Linked DNA regions of Struthio camelus. The protein of the gene in region 1 purifies or fractionates together with the protein of each later gene. This does not show direct contact. Links are inferred from orthologs where the notes say so. Each region holds a gene or a part of one and is shown on either strand. Other genes may lie near its edges.

The links.
Region 2: the proteins of ZMYND8 (region 1) and MTA1 purify together in Homo sapiens (affinity purification with mass spectrometry; 3 studies listed by BioGRID and IntAct, with this or other methods). This does not show direct contact. The link is inferred for Struthio camelus from reciprocal best matches to the Homo sapiens genes ZMYND8 and MTA1.

Annotation. Positions count from the first base shown.
Region 1 is NC_090959.1:8,662,507-8,669,793, reverse strand, and holds the start of ZMYND8 (MYND-type zinc finger-containing chromatin reader ZMYND8), read left to right. Parts: upstream 1-4,279; 5' UTR 4,280-4,530; intron 4,531-4,634; exon of another isoform or gene 4,635-4,681; intron 4,682-5,888; 5' UTR 5,889-6,000; intron 6,001-6,646; 5' UTR 6,647-6,802; intron 6,803-7,287. Other genes in the region: translocating chain-associated membrane protein 1-like 1, read right to left, coding at 3,351-3,470. UniProt on the Homo sapiens protein: Chromatin reader that recognizes dual histone modifications such as histone H3.1 dimethylated at 'Lys-36' and histone H4 acetylated at 'Lys-16' (H3.1K36me2-H4K16ac) and histone H3 methylated at 'Lys-4' and histone H4 acetylated at 'Lys-14' (H3K4me1-H3K14ac).
Region 2 is NC_090949.1:9,501,001-9,508,451, forward strand, and holds the start of MTA1 (metastasis-associated protein MTA1), read left to right. Parts: upstream 1-4,436; 5' UTR 4,437-4,616; coding exon 4,617-4,644; intron 4,645-7,451. UniProt on the Homo sapiens protein: Transcriptional coregulator which can act as both a transcriptional corepressor and coactivator. Acts as a component of the histone deacetylase NuRD complex which participates in the remodeling of chromatin.

The sequences.
Region 1 (7,287 bases):
GAAGTTATGGTCCAGCTAAAAGGCAGTGAAAGGCAATTTTTCAATTTATGGTTTGTAACCACAGGGCTGCCCTTCAAAGTCTGGAGAAAAATATTCTTTCTGGAAGAAAAGAAAAAAAAAAAAGTGTTGCTCTCTGAGTTCACGGCAGCCTCCTTTCATTCTGAAAGGGGACTGAAATCATACTCAATTATCTCCTGAAGATATATTAGGACAGTAGCTTTTGTGAGGATAAGCTACTTTTCACGCACTTTGGGAGAAGAAGGTGGCAGGTAACCTTGCTAAAGCCCATCACATTAGCTATTACTTTTTCTGGTTGTCTGTTAAGCCGATAACATACCACAAATGTTCCACTCTGCTGGAAGTACGGGAGCTCCATTAAGCGGTATCTGTGGCCACCCTACCACAGAACGCAAGCAACAACGGAAATTGTTTTAGAAGGACGTCACACGAAATTTTTCTGAGATTGCACTAGTGGCTTAAAAAGAACCGTGCACAATGAAAGTGCAGTTTCTTTCAAAGACAAAGTCCACTCTCTCATCAAGAAAAGCGCTGGGACTAGACACACAAAGGCTGCTGTATAAAGATTCTCAGGGAAGGAAGAAGAAAGAAAATAGCAGTTATGTACTAAATTTAACAGCCCCTTCTCAGTATGTTATAATCAGAGTGGATCTCATTACAAACTTCTAAAGACTTCATAATAATTAGCAAAGTTAAGGTATAAAAAAGCACAATTAAGGTGGAAAAACAACCATGCATAAGAATTTCCTTTAAAGAAATTCTTATAATTTAATTTATTACATACTAACGCTAATTTCTAACTCTAACATACCTATTGTTTTTTGGATGGCCTCATGGATATAGGCAATTGAATGCCACCTAGAAAAGAAAACCTGTATTTACTCTGATGTCACTACACAGCCCTGAGTAAATCATTAAAGAGGTAGTCAGCTGTAAAAAGTTTCATTTGTACATTCTTTAGTTCGTAAGTGTACAATCTAAGGTACCACAAGTTGGATCTGGAAACCTGCCACTGACAGCTGCAGCTGAAATCACAGCAAGCACAAAATGCTCTGAAAAACATTGATTTAAAAAAAAAAAAAATAGTAGTCATTCAGTGCCCCAAAACTCAAAACCTAAAAATAATTTCACTTTAATATAGAGAGGAAATCAAGACCAGAAGGCAATGGGGATAACAGCTGTGTAGGCATGTTCAGTAACACTTATGAAGCACTCAACATAGTGTCTTGATAAACGTCACAAAAAATACTCAAAAACATCAGTAGTTTTGTTTGGTTGTCAGAGTTTGTATTACACATAATAAATATGGTACAAAGCCTACATGGTGAACAATGAAATATAGGTTTCATTCAGTAACTACTGTGTGCTTTTCTGCGGTGAATGAGACAGAGGTCTAGCACCAAAAAAAATTTGTCAATAGAATGAAAGGCTGTACAGAATTTATTTTTTTAATATTATACTTATGGCAACAAAACCGTTTATCACCTGTTACATAGAACCATCGTTCCTCTGCATAAGAAGTGAATGCTGTCCCAATCTACAGATAATTTTTGCATCAAAAACGGACATGCAGAACGTTTAAGTTATACTATAAAAAGCACACAAGTCTAGTCAAACAAACACAATAAAAAGAAAATAATCAAAAGCTACACTGGAATCTAGTCTGCAAAATTTTAAACTTTCAGATTTATTCTGAGTAGAAATGAGATATTCTGCTAATTATGCTTGGGTTTAACTAATATTGGCTTACTCTTCTTCCTATAAAAGAGGTAAGCTTCACCACCAGAGCAAAAATACGCTGGGGGAGCTGCACAGTACCTCCAAATACCAGTAGACTTACCAGCTACTTACAGAAGCACAACTCCTGTGTTCATACAAAGTCTGAGCTAAGACAAATGGAATTTAGAGACTGAATTCCAGAAAACACACTTTTTTTTTTTTTAGAACAGCAAAGACACACAAGGCAACCTCATTAAAAAGTAACATATACAAGATACATAAGAAGTTCTACATATGCGAATGAATCCTAAAATGAATGTTTTATCCCAGGTGCAAGCATTTACTCTCCTCCTTAAAAGCTAACTAAAAAGCCTTTTTCACCTCAGCTCCCAAGGGCCTAGTTATTTTTTTTTTAAATCAGTTCTGCATTTCACATATTAACTTTCATATCATAGACATAATTTATTACACATCAACACTGGATTTGTCCAACATTTAGAAGGAAATTGTCTGACTGTTGCTGACTCCTTTCTCCACTCTATTCCTGCACAGTATCCTTAACAGTTTCAGAAGTGGGTCAAGATAAAAATAAAAAAGACATCTGCAGGGAAGTATCTTCTCTGAGAATCTAAAAGCATTTGCATTTTTAAAATAACCTGATTTTACATCTCAGCCAACTGATGTTAAAATGTTTCAGGAAAGTATTTAAGTTATCTATTAATTTACAAAGCCCTACCACACACTCGACACCAGCCTAATAGACTCACACGGCAACACACAACAGTTTTGTCCCAAAGGTAGGGAAAAGATGTCTAAAAGAGAACAGCCACAACCCAAGAAACTAATAAGCTGCTTGCATATAGAAATAAACTGTACGGTAACTTTCAAATGCAAAGGGAAAGAGAAATTCAGAAACTAGTCTGAGATTGTGAAATCTTGCGTTTTTCTTCAGGTCATCCGTCACTACCGAGCTGACTCAGCAACAGAGGGAGCAGCGGTGCAAAGGGCGCCTAAGCAGTTTTTAGCTACCATTTGGTTTAAGCCTGCTTAAAACATCAGTGGCTGCCTGAAGCCCTCTTTGCAACAGTGCTCCTACATGCTTCACCACGTGGACGTCTGAACAGGGGGAAAAAAAAAAAAAAAGTAAATAACTCTCACACACGACCAAGAGACACACGAATTTGCTCTAAGCAAAGGGGTCTCAGGAGCTTTTTTATTCAAGGGAACGGAACTGAGTAAAAGGGAATTTACGGGAGGCTGCGAGGCGTGCAACAGATGCAGAGATGAAGGAAAGCTGGACGAAAAAAAAAGAAAACCAAACAAACGAAGAGCGAGCAGCAAAGCGGGAGCGAGCAAAGCCGAAGCTCCTGTCGAGACGCGGAGGGGGGCGCGGGCAGGGTGCCAGGCAGCCAACAGGCCTCCGGGCAAAGAGGCACCGGGGCACAGCCCGGCAGGGAAGAGGGGAGAGGGCAGAGCTGCGCAGCGGCGGCGCGGAGGCGAACGGCGGGGATGTACGGGGCGGAGCTCCGCGGAGGTAAGCCGGAGCGCCGCGCTGTCGCCTCGCGTCCCTGCGCGGCTCGGCGCCCACCGGGCCCCTCACCCTGCTCCGGTACCTCGAACATTAGCCCCAGCAGGAGGCCCACCGCCAGGCAGGACACGGCGTCTGCATGGTTCTGGATGACGAACTCGTGGCTCAGCATTGCCGGGCTCCTGGCTTTCCGGCGGAGCCCCATGGCGGTGGACGGCGCCCAGGGCCCCGGCGGCCCCGCCGAGGGGAGCAGCACCTCCCCACCCCCGCCCCGCGGCAGCCACTTTCACCTCCCGCCCAGTAAACGCCGCTGCTCCCAGGGCCCGCCTCCCACCCTTGGCCAGCCAATCAAGCTGAAGACGACCTCTAACTAGCAGCCCTAGCAGCCAGTCGCGAGGCGGCCGGGAGGAGCGGTTTCCAGGGGGGCGGTACTTCAGCGGCAGTCGGGCACTCACGACTGGAGTCGGGGGTCCGACATGAGTGACGCGGGATTCATCCAGTCCCATGTGCGGATGGGTGGGGCTTGCTCAGGAGGCCCCCCCCACAGATAGTGGTCGGTGGGCGGGGCTTGGCTCAGCTGGCGTTCGGGGCGCGCCTTCGCCGTCTCTGCAGGTGGCGGCGGCTGTGGGGAGCGGGCAAGTCCGGTTTGGCCCGGCTCGAGCCGGTCTCCGTGGGGCGGGGCTGGGCTCGCCACAGCCCCGGGGACGACAGGGCGGCTTTGCCGCCGCAGGGCCCGCGGGGAGCGAGACAGGTCGGGCGGCCAGCTCCCCTCACAGGCCCGAGGAGCGCCGCCTGCGCAGGTGGCGGGCGCCGCCCTCAGAGCCGGCTAGCGGCTCCTCGCCCCGCTCTCCGCCTCCGAGCGGGCAGTGGTCGCTCACCACCGCTAGGCAAAAACGGAAAAGCTGTTGGGAAATCCCCACCTTACCCTCCTTTTTTATAATTTCCATTGAAATGGAGGGGGAGGGGCTAAAAGGTGCTTTGAGGCCCTAGAGATGTGAGGATTTGGCCACCTGCAGGCTCTAGCTGGAATTCAAGGGGGAAAGCAGACCGGTTGACCAAAACTGTGACCGAGGCAGGGGAAGGCCGGAGGGGGTGATGGCATCACAGAGGAGAAGGTTGAAAGGGGAAAAAAGAACTTCGCTTCCATCTTGCACGCAGATGCCTCCCCTGCTGTGGGGAGCATAGCGTCTGCTGATTCCAGTGAAGGGATGATTCATCTGGAGCCAGCTGCTAAATAGGACCAAAAAATCAGTTCCGTTTTGAAGGTAGTTTTGCTACCTGTTGATTTTTAAATGTTTTAGGCTCACTGAAGCGGTTTCTATGTGCCACAGAATTTCCTTTCTGTTATGCTTTCTCCTAGTTAGTCAGTTTGACAATACTCATGCTCCTGTTTCTACCCTCATTTTGAGTTTCAAGGTAACGTATTCAGAAGCTGCATTTTATGTGTGAATTTAAGCATTGCTACAGAGCGCTTGTACAATACGGACGTTTGGTGAGGCAACGGCCATGCATATGCTTTACCTCAGCCAAAAAGAGGGATTCTTAAATAAAAATACTTGCAGTAAATCATTTACAAACCATTATTGGTTTCTTGATGAAAAGGAAATGATAAAATAGCAAGACTTAATTGTTTATTATAATTACTATTTTTCTTTTTTCTTAAGCTAAAAAGAGTATCCCCAATTGAAATTGTAACTATGATTCAAAATTTTTTTCCCTTCTTCTGGAAACATATTAGAGATAGGGGCAAATAATGCCAAATAGAAATGGGAATTTGCAGTACCAAGAAACACAAGCCTGGAATGTGGTTTTGCAACCCAGAATATACCCCTTTAATATAATTTGCACCGTTTTTGTCCCATATCGGTGAGCAAGCTAGTCTGTATTTTTATGAACTGGGAACATGACTTTCTAGAAGAAAAAAGCTATAGGGCTCTATATTTTTATGGATTTTTTTATTCATTTTATTTGGATTTTTATATTTTTACGTTCTATGTTTATAGCTTTGTAGATAGTCTCAGCATAAACTTCAGCTCTCATATATTTGCTCAAGTTCCAAACAAGCAATGTTGTTTGACTTTTTATTTTGAAACAAAACTAAAGAAATTTAGGAGCAGATAACTTTTATTACCGATTCCCCACTTGCATCGATGCATGTTTTCTTACAAGAAACTCAATTTTAATACATGACCTAAGTAAGATTTGTAATTAATCTAGTAATATTTTTTCAGAAAAATGAATCTTGAGGCATATTTGCTAGGTATAAAACTGATTTAGACAATGAGATACAATGAGGCAGTCAGATATGATAATTTACAGTAATATTAAACGAGTATTTGAGTTCAAGTACCTGCTCCTAGAGATATCTACTGACTTCTGCCTTTGTACATTTACTAACTTAAGTTTCTAATATAGATATACTCTGTGCACAAGAGGAGCTAACAGTTGTCTAAACTGATTATTTGAATTGACAAAAGTCTTGAACCTACTTTGGAGTTAAAAACATTGTGTCTGGGAGGCAAGAGGAAAAAAAAAGGCGCTCAAGTGAAGTCTCAGACCACCTTTTCACCTGTTAGAACCCTGTGGAACCCTCTGTTCAAGTTCTGTTTTTCTCCTCTGGCAGTTGAGGGCAACATCATGTTAAGGTAATGAAGTGAAATGACCCTTTCGTTCCAATGTGTGTATGATGCGCGTCTTGAAGAAGACTTGAGATTGCTGAGCTCTGTCTTTGGCAAGTAAGTAAACTCTATTGTTTAACGCACTATATAAATACATATAAAGAGGTCAGTGAAATGCCATACTTCTGTTGCTTACATTTACTTACTTTTCTCAGGTGTCTTTTCAGAAGTTATATTTACGATTTGAAAACTGACAAAACTGGGTGGGCCTGCCAAAAGACAACCCACTTACTTGTTGGTTATCTACTTTCCTGCCTGGTTCATAATTCTGTATCTATATTATTTAAGCTCTAAGTTCCAGGTTTAAAGTCTCAAGTATTTTACCTCTTTGATTCCACAACTTCTGCGTTATACATGGGCATCTTCTCATCAGTATTTCTAAATTATGTCACTGTCATGGCAACAGCCTTTCCCCCTCATCCCTTTTTCTGGTAGAGCAGAGTAGGTTCTTCTAGAATACATTAATGAGTACTGGTAGTTCATTAATTAATTTGAAGGTTGCTTCAGTTTTTTTTGGCTCCTAGTGGGTCATTTCCATTGTCCTCTCCTTTAAACAAATTAACTTAGCCAAGAAAGCTGTTGTTTCCTTTTTTACTTGTTTTCATAGATATTTTCTCTGTTAAATAAATGAAACAAAAAAGCTTAACCTGCAGTTTAAACTTTTCTGTAGTTGTATCATTACACTTATTAATGCTATTTGCAGAGCTGTAGAAATCAACCAGAGACCTGCTTGACCATGCTGAAGTAGCTAAGAATGACCAACCTGACTCCTTTATTTTATGCTTCAGTTAAATAAGATGAGTTAATTCAGAATTGGAGTAAATTCAGGGAAGAAGAAAGCACTAGTCATTTTCGTGGGGTAAGTAAACCCAATTTAAAAATCACTAGGCAAATACATTCAAACTGGTTGCATGATTTCCTTTTGTGTGTGTGTGTGGGGGGGGGGGTGTTAAAGGGCCAGCCAACATGGAGGGGGGGTATTTTGTTGTTGGCTTTTTTTGTATTAGGCACCGTATAAACACTGAGTAGCGTAGAGACCGCATCTAGCAGAATTTAGGATCTAAATAGACAAGCTAGATTCACTATGGGGAAGAACCATGCCTCGTAAGCAGTAAATAGTCCACTGGCACCAAAACACGTTAATTTTGTTCTTCTGGGACTTTCTGGGGAGGAGAGAGATTACATAGGAAAAGACAAGCTGGGGAAAACAGAAGAGGGCCACAGACACACATGGTAAAGCATTAGGAAAGAAGGACTGGAGCAAACCACCAAGGGAAAAACAGTCTTAGGCAAGCCTGTCTGCAAATGTTGGACTGTCATATCCCTGCTTTTACTGCTGCTCCT
Region 2 (7,451 bases), on another chromosome or scaffold:
CGATGGAGCAGGGGGCTTCAGGGAGGGTTCTGGCAGGGGCCAGGCTGCTCCCGAGGCAGCTCTTGATGGATGCCTCAGCTTCTCCGTACTGGCTGGCTGGCTAGCCAAATTTGCCTCTGTGGCTTGCAGCCATCCTGCATCCCTTCCTTTGCTGGGGGAGGGGACACAAGAGTCTCCCAGCAGCGTCCCAGTGGTCGTTTGCCCAAACGGCACCGAGCAGGGATGGGGTGGCCCCAGGCAGGTACATAGCCAGGGAAAGGACAAATCTGGGACTCGCCGGTACACAGGCAGCAACGCAAGCCATCAGGAGGGCCCGAGCGCTGGCCAGAGAGGGGGAGCACCGTAGGGCAGCTGGGGGAGAGGCAAGTGGTCCAGGCTGTATTTTGGCTATGTATTTTTTGCACAGGTTCAGCTGTAAACCTGCAGCAAGGGCCCAGCCACGCGGAGGAGGCTCAGCCTGACCTCTCTCTGGCAGGCTGGGCCCACCTCGTCGTGCCCGGCTCCCGCAGCTCGCTGCACGGCGGCCTGCAAGGCGTTGGCACGTCCCAGCCACTGCCTCTGAGCTTGAACTGGCAGATATTTCCCTTTCCCTCTCCACTTGAGTTTTCTCTCTTCCCCGTCAATCCTCCCTGCTTACACCCAGTTGGGACAGCCTGTGTCCCGGCGGTTCGGGGCAGGAGAGGGTTGTGACGGCAGCAGGCAATGCGTTTCTAGAAATAGCCTGTGTTAGTGCCAGCGTGGCTGGTTGTAGGGTGGCGGGTAAGGAAGGGGGGAGGCGGCGGTGATTCAGCTTTGCCAGTGCAGCTGGAGCTGTGTCCAGTTTCCGATTGTGCATCCTGGTGAAGGAGCTATAGCTCTGCGCGCTACAGCAAGGGGTACCGGCACCGCTCTGGGGGCACAGCCGCCCTCCCAACCGCAGAAGGAAAACTCCCCCTCTGGAGGTGGGGGAAAGCAGACCTCTATCCTAGGCAAACCTGCAGCGTGGCTGAAATGCAAATGTTTCCCAAGGCCGCTGTGGAAGTGGTTTAAGGAAGACGCAGCATGTGGCCAGGAAGGCAAGCTGAAGCTTTCCAAGCGGGAAAGTCACGCTAGGGTAGCCATGGACGGCTGTAATGTAGCGCTGCTCAGCTGTGCCAGACTTCGATGCAGTGGGGGACAACGAGCTTTCCCTTCCAGGGACAGGAGAGCGTCGTGAGTCCAACCAACCCGGACAAACACATTTGAAGGAGCAGGATGGATTTTGGCCACCTAAACCTATGGAAGTCCAAAGGGATCCCACAAAAATGTCGGTGTGCCACGCAAGCAGCAGCGCAGAGCCAGGTGCGTGGTGGCCCACCTGCCTCGACGTTGGCCTCGTTGCCCTCTCTTCCAAAGGGCTGACCTTTCAGTCCCTGTCCCTTGTCACTGAGGTGCTCGGGGGGGGACGGGGGACAGAAAGCTCAGCAGGAAAATTCCAGCTGCTACCGTGCCCTGGAGAGCTGTCCTGGGGCAGGGAGCAGCAGGGGGGTAGCAGCAGAGAGGGGTGGCGAGCAGAGCAGGGGCAGAGAGGTTGGTTTGGGATGAGGGTGCATCAGGGGACCGCCTAGTCCATTGGTCTAGACCAATGCACCTAGAAAGTTCTCCTCATGCCCACGCGTGCTGGGGAGAGCTGATTTCTGTGGGGCCATCTTGGACAGGCTGGCATCTTCTGCAGGTCTCGGCTTTTCTTGGTGGCTGTGCCCTCTCCGGGCTGGGCCGACAGGGATCCAGTGCAAGAGCTTCCCTGTCACAACAGACAGAAAACCTTCTCGAAGGACCAAGCTTGCTACAGGAGGAGCGCTGGTGGCACGTACCGGACTGGGATTTTGGTGGCGGGAGACAGGGCGTTGCAAAACCCAATGCCTTTCCAGGCTGTGGCTGCTGGAGCCACGTCCCCTCCTTTCCAATTGCATAACATCCCAGTGGCGACCACAGCTATTGCTCAACGTGGAAGAGTAACAGCAGGGAAGTTCTGACATGTTTTTGTTGCTATCGTTTAAAAAACAATTTAGTGTCTGGAAAGAGCAGTCAACACCACGTGAGCGGCCACTTCTTCGTGTGCAACTACCAAGTGCCCCATGATGCGATTTGTAAATATTTATTCTGGATAATTTTTCTGTGTCCTACTGAATTATTTTCCGCTCTGCAGAGTGGTTGCAGAAACAGCCTGGGGAGGACCAGGCCTCGCGCCTGGCGTGCGGGCAGACGTGTCCCGCGGGTACCGTAGTGTCCCCAGAGGCCAAGTCGCTCATGCTCGGCTCTGCTGGGGAGCTCGGGAAAGGCAGGAACACGGCGCGGGCACGGGCGGCCCCCGGCGTGCTGGACTAACCCTTAGCTGACCGGTTTCAGCCCCAGAAACGCTCTCCTCGCTCAGCAGCGCTCCTTGCCTGTGTGGGAAATATGAAAGCAGAACAAATCCGAATGGCCCTACTGCGGTCACTGGGGTTTTTTTTTTAACATATAAAAAAGAATTTAAGCCAACAAATCATTCTCTCTTAAATACACGTATTTTGGCAGGTGTGACAACTTTGGGCAGTCTTATGGGACTCCTTGAGGATGTCACGACAACCGGGGTTGAGAGCGCGGGTGGTTGGCCCTGCTCAGCCCTGGTGAAACGTGCGGCTTTGGCTAACTGCTTCTTCCGCGGCTGCGGAGAGTTTTATTACACGTATTTTTTGGCTGATGAATAATTTCCCCAGCAGCAGGCCGAGGTGCCACCGCGAGAGGTGTGGGACGCGGGGCGCCCCCAGCCAGGCAGTCGGGGTACCGGTTACGGGGTGTTCCCAAACGCGTGGTGCATCAAGGTGTGCAGCTGCATGGGGTGTCAAGAACAGGGGTACAGGTGGGGGGACGTGGTGTGTGTGAGGAGGGGTTGTGCAGTGATGCCCCCTGGGAGGGGCCACACTGCCTGTGCCAGGGCAGCTGTGTGTGCGGGTGTGAGGAGGGCTGTGTGTGTGAGCACAGGCAGCGCACGTGGAGAAGGGCTGTGTGTGTGGGAGGGCTGTGTGTGAGGAGGGCTGTGAGGAGAGGTGTGTTTGAGTACAGGAGGGGTGTGTGTGTGTCAGGAGAGCTGGCTGCTGTACAGGCAGTTGTGTGAGGGTACAGGTGGGCTGTGTGTACAGAGGGCTGTGAGGACAGGTGGAGTGTGAGGGCACAGGCAGGGTGTGTGCACAGAGGGCTGTGAGGACAGATGGAGTGTGAGGGTACAGGCAGGCTGTGTGCACAGAGGGCTGTGAGGACAGGCAGGGTGCGAGGGTACAGGCAGTGTGTGTGCACAGAGGGCTGTGAGGACAGGCGGAGTGTGAGGGTACAGGCAGGCTGTGTGCACAGAGGGCTGTGAGGACAGGCGGAGTGTGAGGGTACAGGCTGGGTGTGTGCACAGAGGGCTGTGAGGACAGGCGGAGTGTGAGGGTACAGGCAGGCTGTGTGCACAGAGGGCTGTGAGGACAGGCGGAGCGTGAGGGTACAGGCAGTGTGTGTGTGCAGAGGGCTGTGAGGACAGGCGGAGTGTGAGGGTACAGGCAGGGTGTGTGCGGAGTGCTGAGGACAGGCGGAGTGTGAGGGTACAGGCCGGATGTGTGCGCAGAGGGCTGTGAGGACAGGCGGAGTGTGAGGGCACAGGCAGGGTGTGTGCACAGAGGGCTGTGAGGACAGGCGGAGTGCGAGGGTACAGGCAGGGTGTGTGCGGAGTGCTGAGGACAGGCGGAGTGTGAGGGTACAGGCCGGATGTGTGCGCAGGGGGCTGTGAGGACAGGCGGAGTGTGAGGGTACAGGCAGGGTGTGTGCAGAGGGCTGTGAGGACAGGCGGAGTGTGAGGGCACAGGCAGGGTGTGTGCACAGAGGGCTGTGAGGACAGGCGGAGTGCGAGGGTACAGGCAGGGTGTGTGCGGAGTGCTGAGGACAGGCGGAGTGTGAGGGTACAGGCAGGGTGTGTGCACAGAGGGCTGTGAGGACAGGCAGAGCGTGAGGGTACAGGCAGGGTGTGTGCACAGAGGGCTGTGAGGACAGGCGGAGTGTGAGGGTACAGGCAGGGTGTGTGCACAGAGGGCTGTGAGGACAGGCGGAGTGTGAGGGTACAGGCCGGGTGTGTGCGCAGGGGGCTGTGAGGACAGGCGGCGTGCCTGAGTACAGGAAGCAGAGGGCTGTGAGGCCAGGCGGTGCGTGGGCACAGGCGGTGCGCGGGGGCCGGTGCCAGGGGCTGCGGGCAGGCCCCGCCGCAGGCCCCGCCGCCCGGAGGAGGCCGGCCCGGGCTCTGGTGGTGCCGCCGCCGCCGGCGGGCGGGCGGGCGCGGCGCTCGCCGCCGTCACATGGTGCGGGCTGGGCGGCGGGGCCCGCTCCTTCCCCCCCCGCCCGCCGCCGCCGCCGCCGCCGCCCCGGCCCTCGCCGTGCCCGCGCCGCCGCCGCCCCGCCCTCCGCCGCCCGCCCGCTCGCCCTCCCCTCGGCGGCCGGGCGGCAGCCGGCGCGGCCCCTTTAATTCCCTCGCTCCCCCTCCCCCGCCCGGCCGCTCCAGCCTCCATTTTCCAGCGGATCCGGCACCTGGAGGCGGCGGCGGCGGCGACGGGAGCGGCCCGCGTCCCGCACCCGGCCCCGTCCCGGGCATGGCCGCCAACATGTACCGGGTCGGAGGTAAGCGCCCCGCCGGGCCCCGGCCCCGCGCGGCCGCGCCTCCCCGCGTGCCAGCGGCGCGTCAGGGGCCGCGGCGGCGGGGCAGGCCCGGCCCGGCGGGCGTGGGGCGCGCTGGGGGCGCGGGGCGCCGTGGGGCGGGTGCGGGGGGTGGGCTGTGGGGCCCGCTGGGGTGGGCAGGAGTGCGGGGTGCGTGTGGGGTGGAGGGCAACGTGGGGTATGGGGTGGTCTTGGGGCGGGGTGTGGGGTGGGTTGGGGTGGGGGGGAGCCTGGAGATAGGGTAGGTGGTGGTCTTGGGGTGGGGGGAGCGTGGGGACGGGGTGTGGGGTGGGGGGGAGCCTGGAGATAGGGTAGGTGGTGGTCTTGGGGTGGGGGGAGCGTGGGGACGGGGTGTGGGGTGGGGGGGAGCCTGGAGATAGGGTAGGTGGTGGTCTTGGGGTGGGGGGAGCGTGGGGACGGGGTGTGGGGTGGGGGGGAGCCTGGAGATAGGGTAGGTGGTGGTCTTGGGGTGGGGTGGGGGGCAGCTTTGGAAGGAGTTGCATGGGGAGGGAGGCTGTTGAGGCACGAGGCAGGGACCTTCTCGGTGGGGTGGGGGCGCGAGGTAGGTTTGGGGTGTGGGTTTTGGGGCTGGAGCAGGCTGGGGAGAGGTTAGGTGGGTGGGAAGGCTGGTGCCTGTGGGGTGTGGGTGGCTCTGGGGTGGGGAGAGGCTGAGGAGGAGGCAGGTGGGCGCAGGGCTGCTGGAAGAGGATGTGTGGGGCGAGGGTGGATTTGGGTTGGAGGCTGGGGGTTTGGGAAGGGGACAGGACTGGGGTGCTGGGAGGGGGGGATCGGGTCCGCGGGGTGTGGGTGTGTGGGACGCACACAAGGAGCGCTGTAAGGAAGAGGGCTATGGAGGGTGAGGGGGTTTTAGGTGGGAGTAAGTGGGGCAAAGGGCTGTTGTGGGGGCGGTTTGGGGAGGCTTTGTGTGGGCAATGGGGCTTGGAGTTCCTGTGTGAGGTGGGGGCGGATACGACATGGTGTGTTTGGCATTGTGCAAGGTACAGGGTGTGGGGCAGAGGTGAGGAGCCATCTTGGGAGGGTTGGGGATGGAGAAGAGCCCTGCCGAGCTTTATGAGGCTGAGGAAAGTAGGGGCCTGCTCTGTGTATGAGCTGTGCGGGGGGGAGTCGGGGGGCTTGGAGAGAGAGGAGTAGAGGGCAGATCTGGGATGAGGGCATGGGCAGGAGGGGTGGATTTCTGGAGCAACCTATGAGAGCAAGACCAGAGACCATGGGGAAACAGAGTTAGGGTTGGGGTGGAACGAAGGGTCGGATGACTGTTTAGACAAGGGTTATGTGAGGTTGTAAGGGTGGGGACGTACAGGGAGTTGCTGGGATAAGAGCAAGCCTAACGATAGGCTGAGACTACTGGTAGACTAGGGCAGTTGCATGAAGCAAGTCCTGCTGATCTTGGCCTTCCCTTCCATTCATGCTGTTTTATTGTATGCTTTCCCATTAGTCTTCTGTTCAGAGCCTTGCGCTCCTGTCTGATTGTCCTTTGTTTAAACTCACGTGAAGAGAAAGGAGAGGCAACAGGGTTTGGGATTGAATTTTATGGAATATAAACACTGAGGGTGGTCTGGCATGAATTTGTGTTCAGCCATTTTCCTTCATAAAAGCTGTTCTGTGGAACTTCCTTGTTCCTTGAACCATAGGATCTAAGGGAAGATATTTTGGTGGGGGGGGGTCCCTCCTTTCAAAGTACTCCATTCTTTTGGAGTTCTGTAAAAGCAGGGTAAAGTAAACAAGGGGAAAATATAGTGAAGGTGGCCAAGCCATCCTGTCTGGCTACTCTCCATCAACAACTACTTTCAATTCTTTCCACTTTTCTGGCCTACCCTTACTTTGTACTCTGAAAAATGTCACGTTTGTTGTCACATTTATACTTTTTTGCTGGTTGCACTTGGTGTCGTGAAGGGATAAGATGTGCATCTTAGCTGTCCCAGCTTTGTTTCTTGGGTTGCTACAAGTTGGTTGTGTGTGTGTGTATAGCATTATGTGGGGTTAGAAATGCTGAGAAGTAGAAAGATGAAGGGCAAAATGTGCTGTAGGAGTTTACAGTTCAGTTCCTGGTGTGACTTGCAAAGGGAATTGTTTCCTGGGAATTGTTGTTTGGTATTTAAGGTTACAGGCATTAGTCTTGCACTGAATGTGATCTCTAGTATTTTGTGTGTCAAAACCTGGACTGTGCTCCCCATAAAATCATGTAGGTGGGAAGAGACCTCTAGAAATCTCTAGTCCAACCACCTACTAAAAGCCATCCAGTTAGAGCAGGATGCTTGGGGCTGTGTTCAGTTGAGTTCTGAACGAAGGATGGTGATGCCTCTTCTTCTCTGGGCCCTCTTCCAGTGTTTGACCACCTTCCTGGCAACTTGTTTTCCTTATGTCTGGTTGGAATTTCTCATGTTCTGACATGTGTTCATTGCCCCTTGTCCCCGGGAACCTCTGAGAAGAGCCTGCCCCTGTCTGCTGGTTGTAGACAGCAATAGCATCTGCCCCGAGCCTTTTCTCCCCCAGGCTGAACAAACCTGTCTCTATTGGCCTGTCTTTGTACATCCTGTGCTTCAGCCCCAACCACCTTGGTAGCTCCACTGGACTTGCTCCAGTATGTCACTGTCCTTGTCTTGGGGAGCCCAAACTGGATGAGCGCTCTAGATGGTCTCAAGCGCTGAGCAGGAGGGATAGGATCTCTCCCCTCGCCCTGCTGCTTGTGCTCTTGTTAACCCAGCCCAAAATGCCACCAGCTTTGCTGCAATGGTACAGTGCTGTCTGCT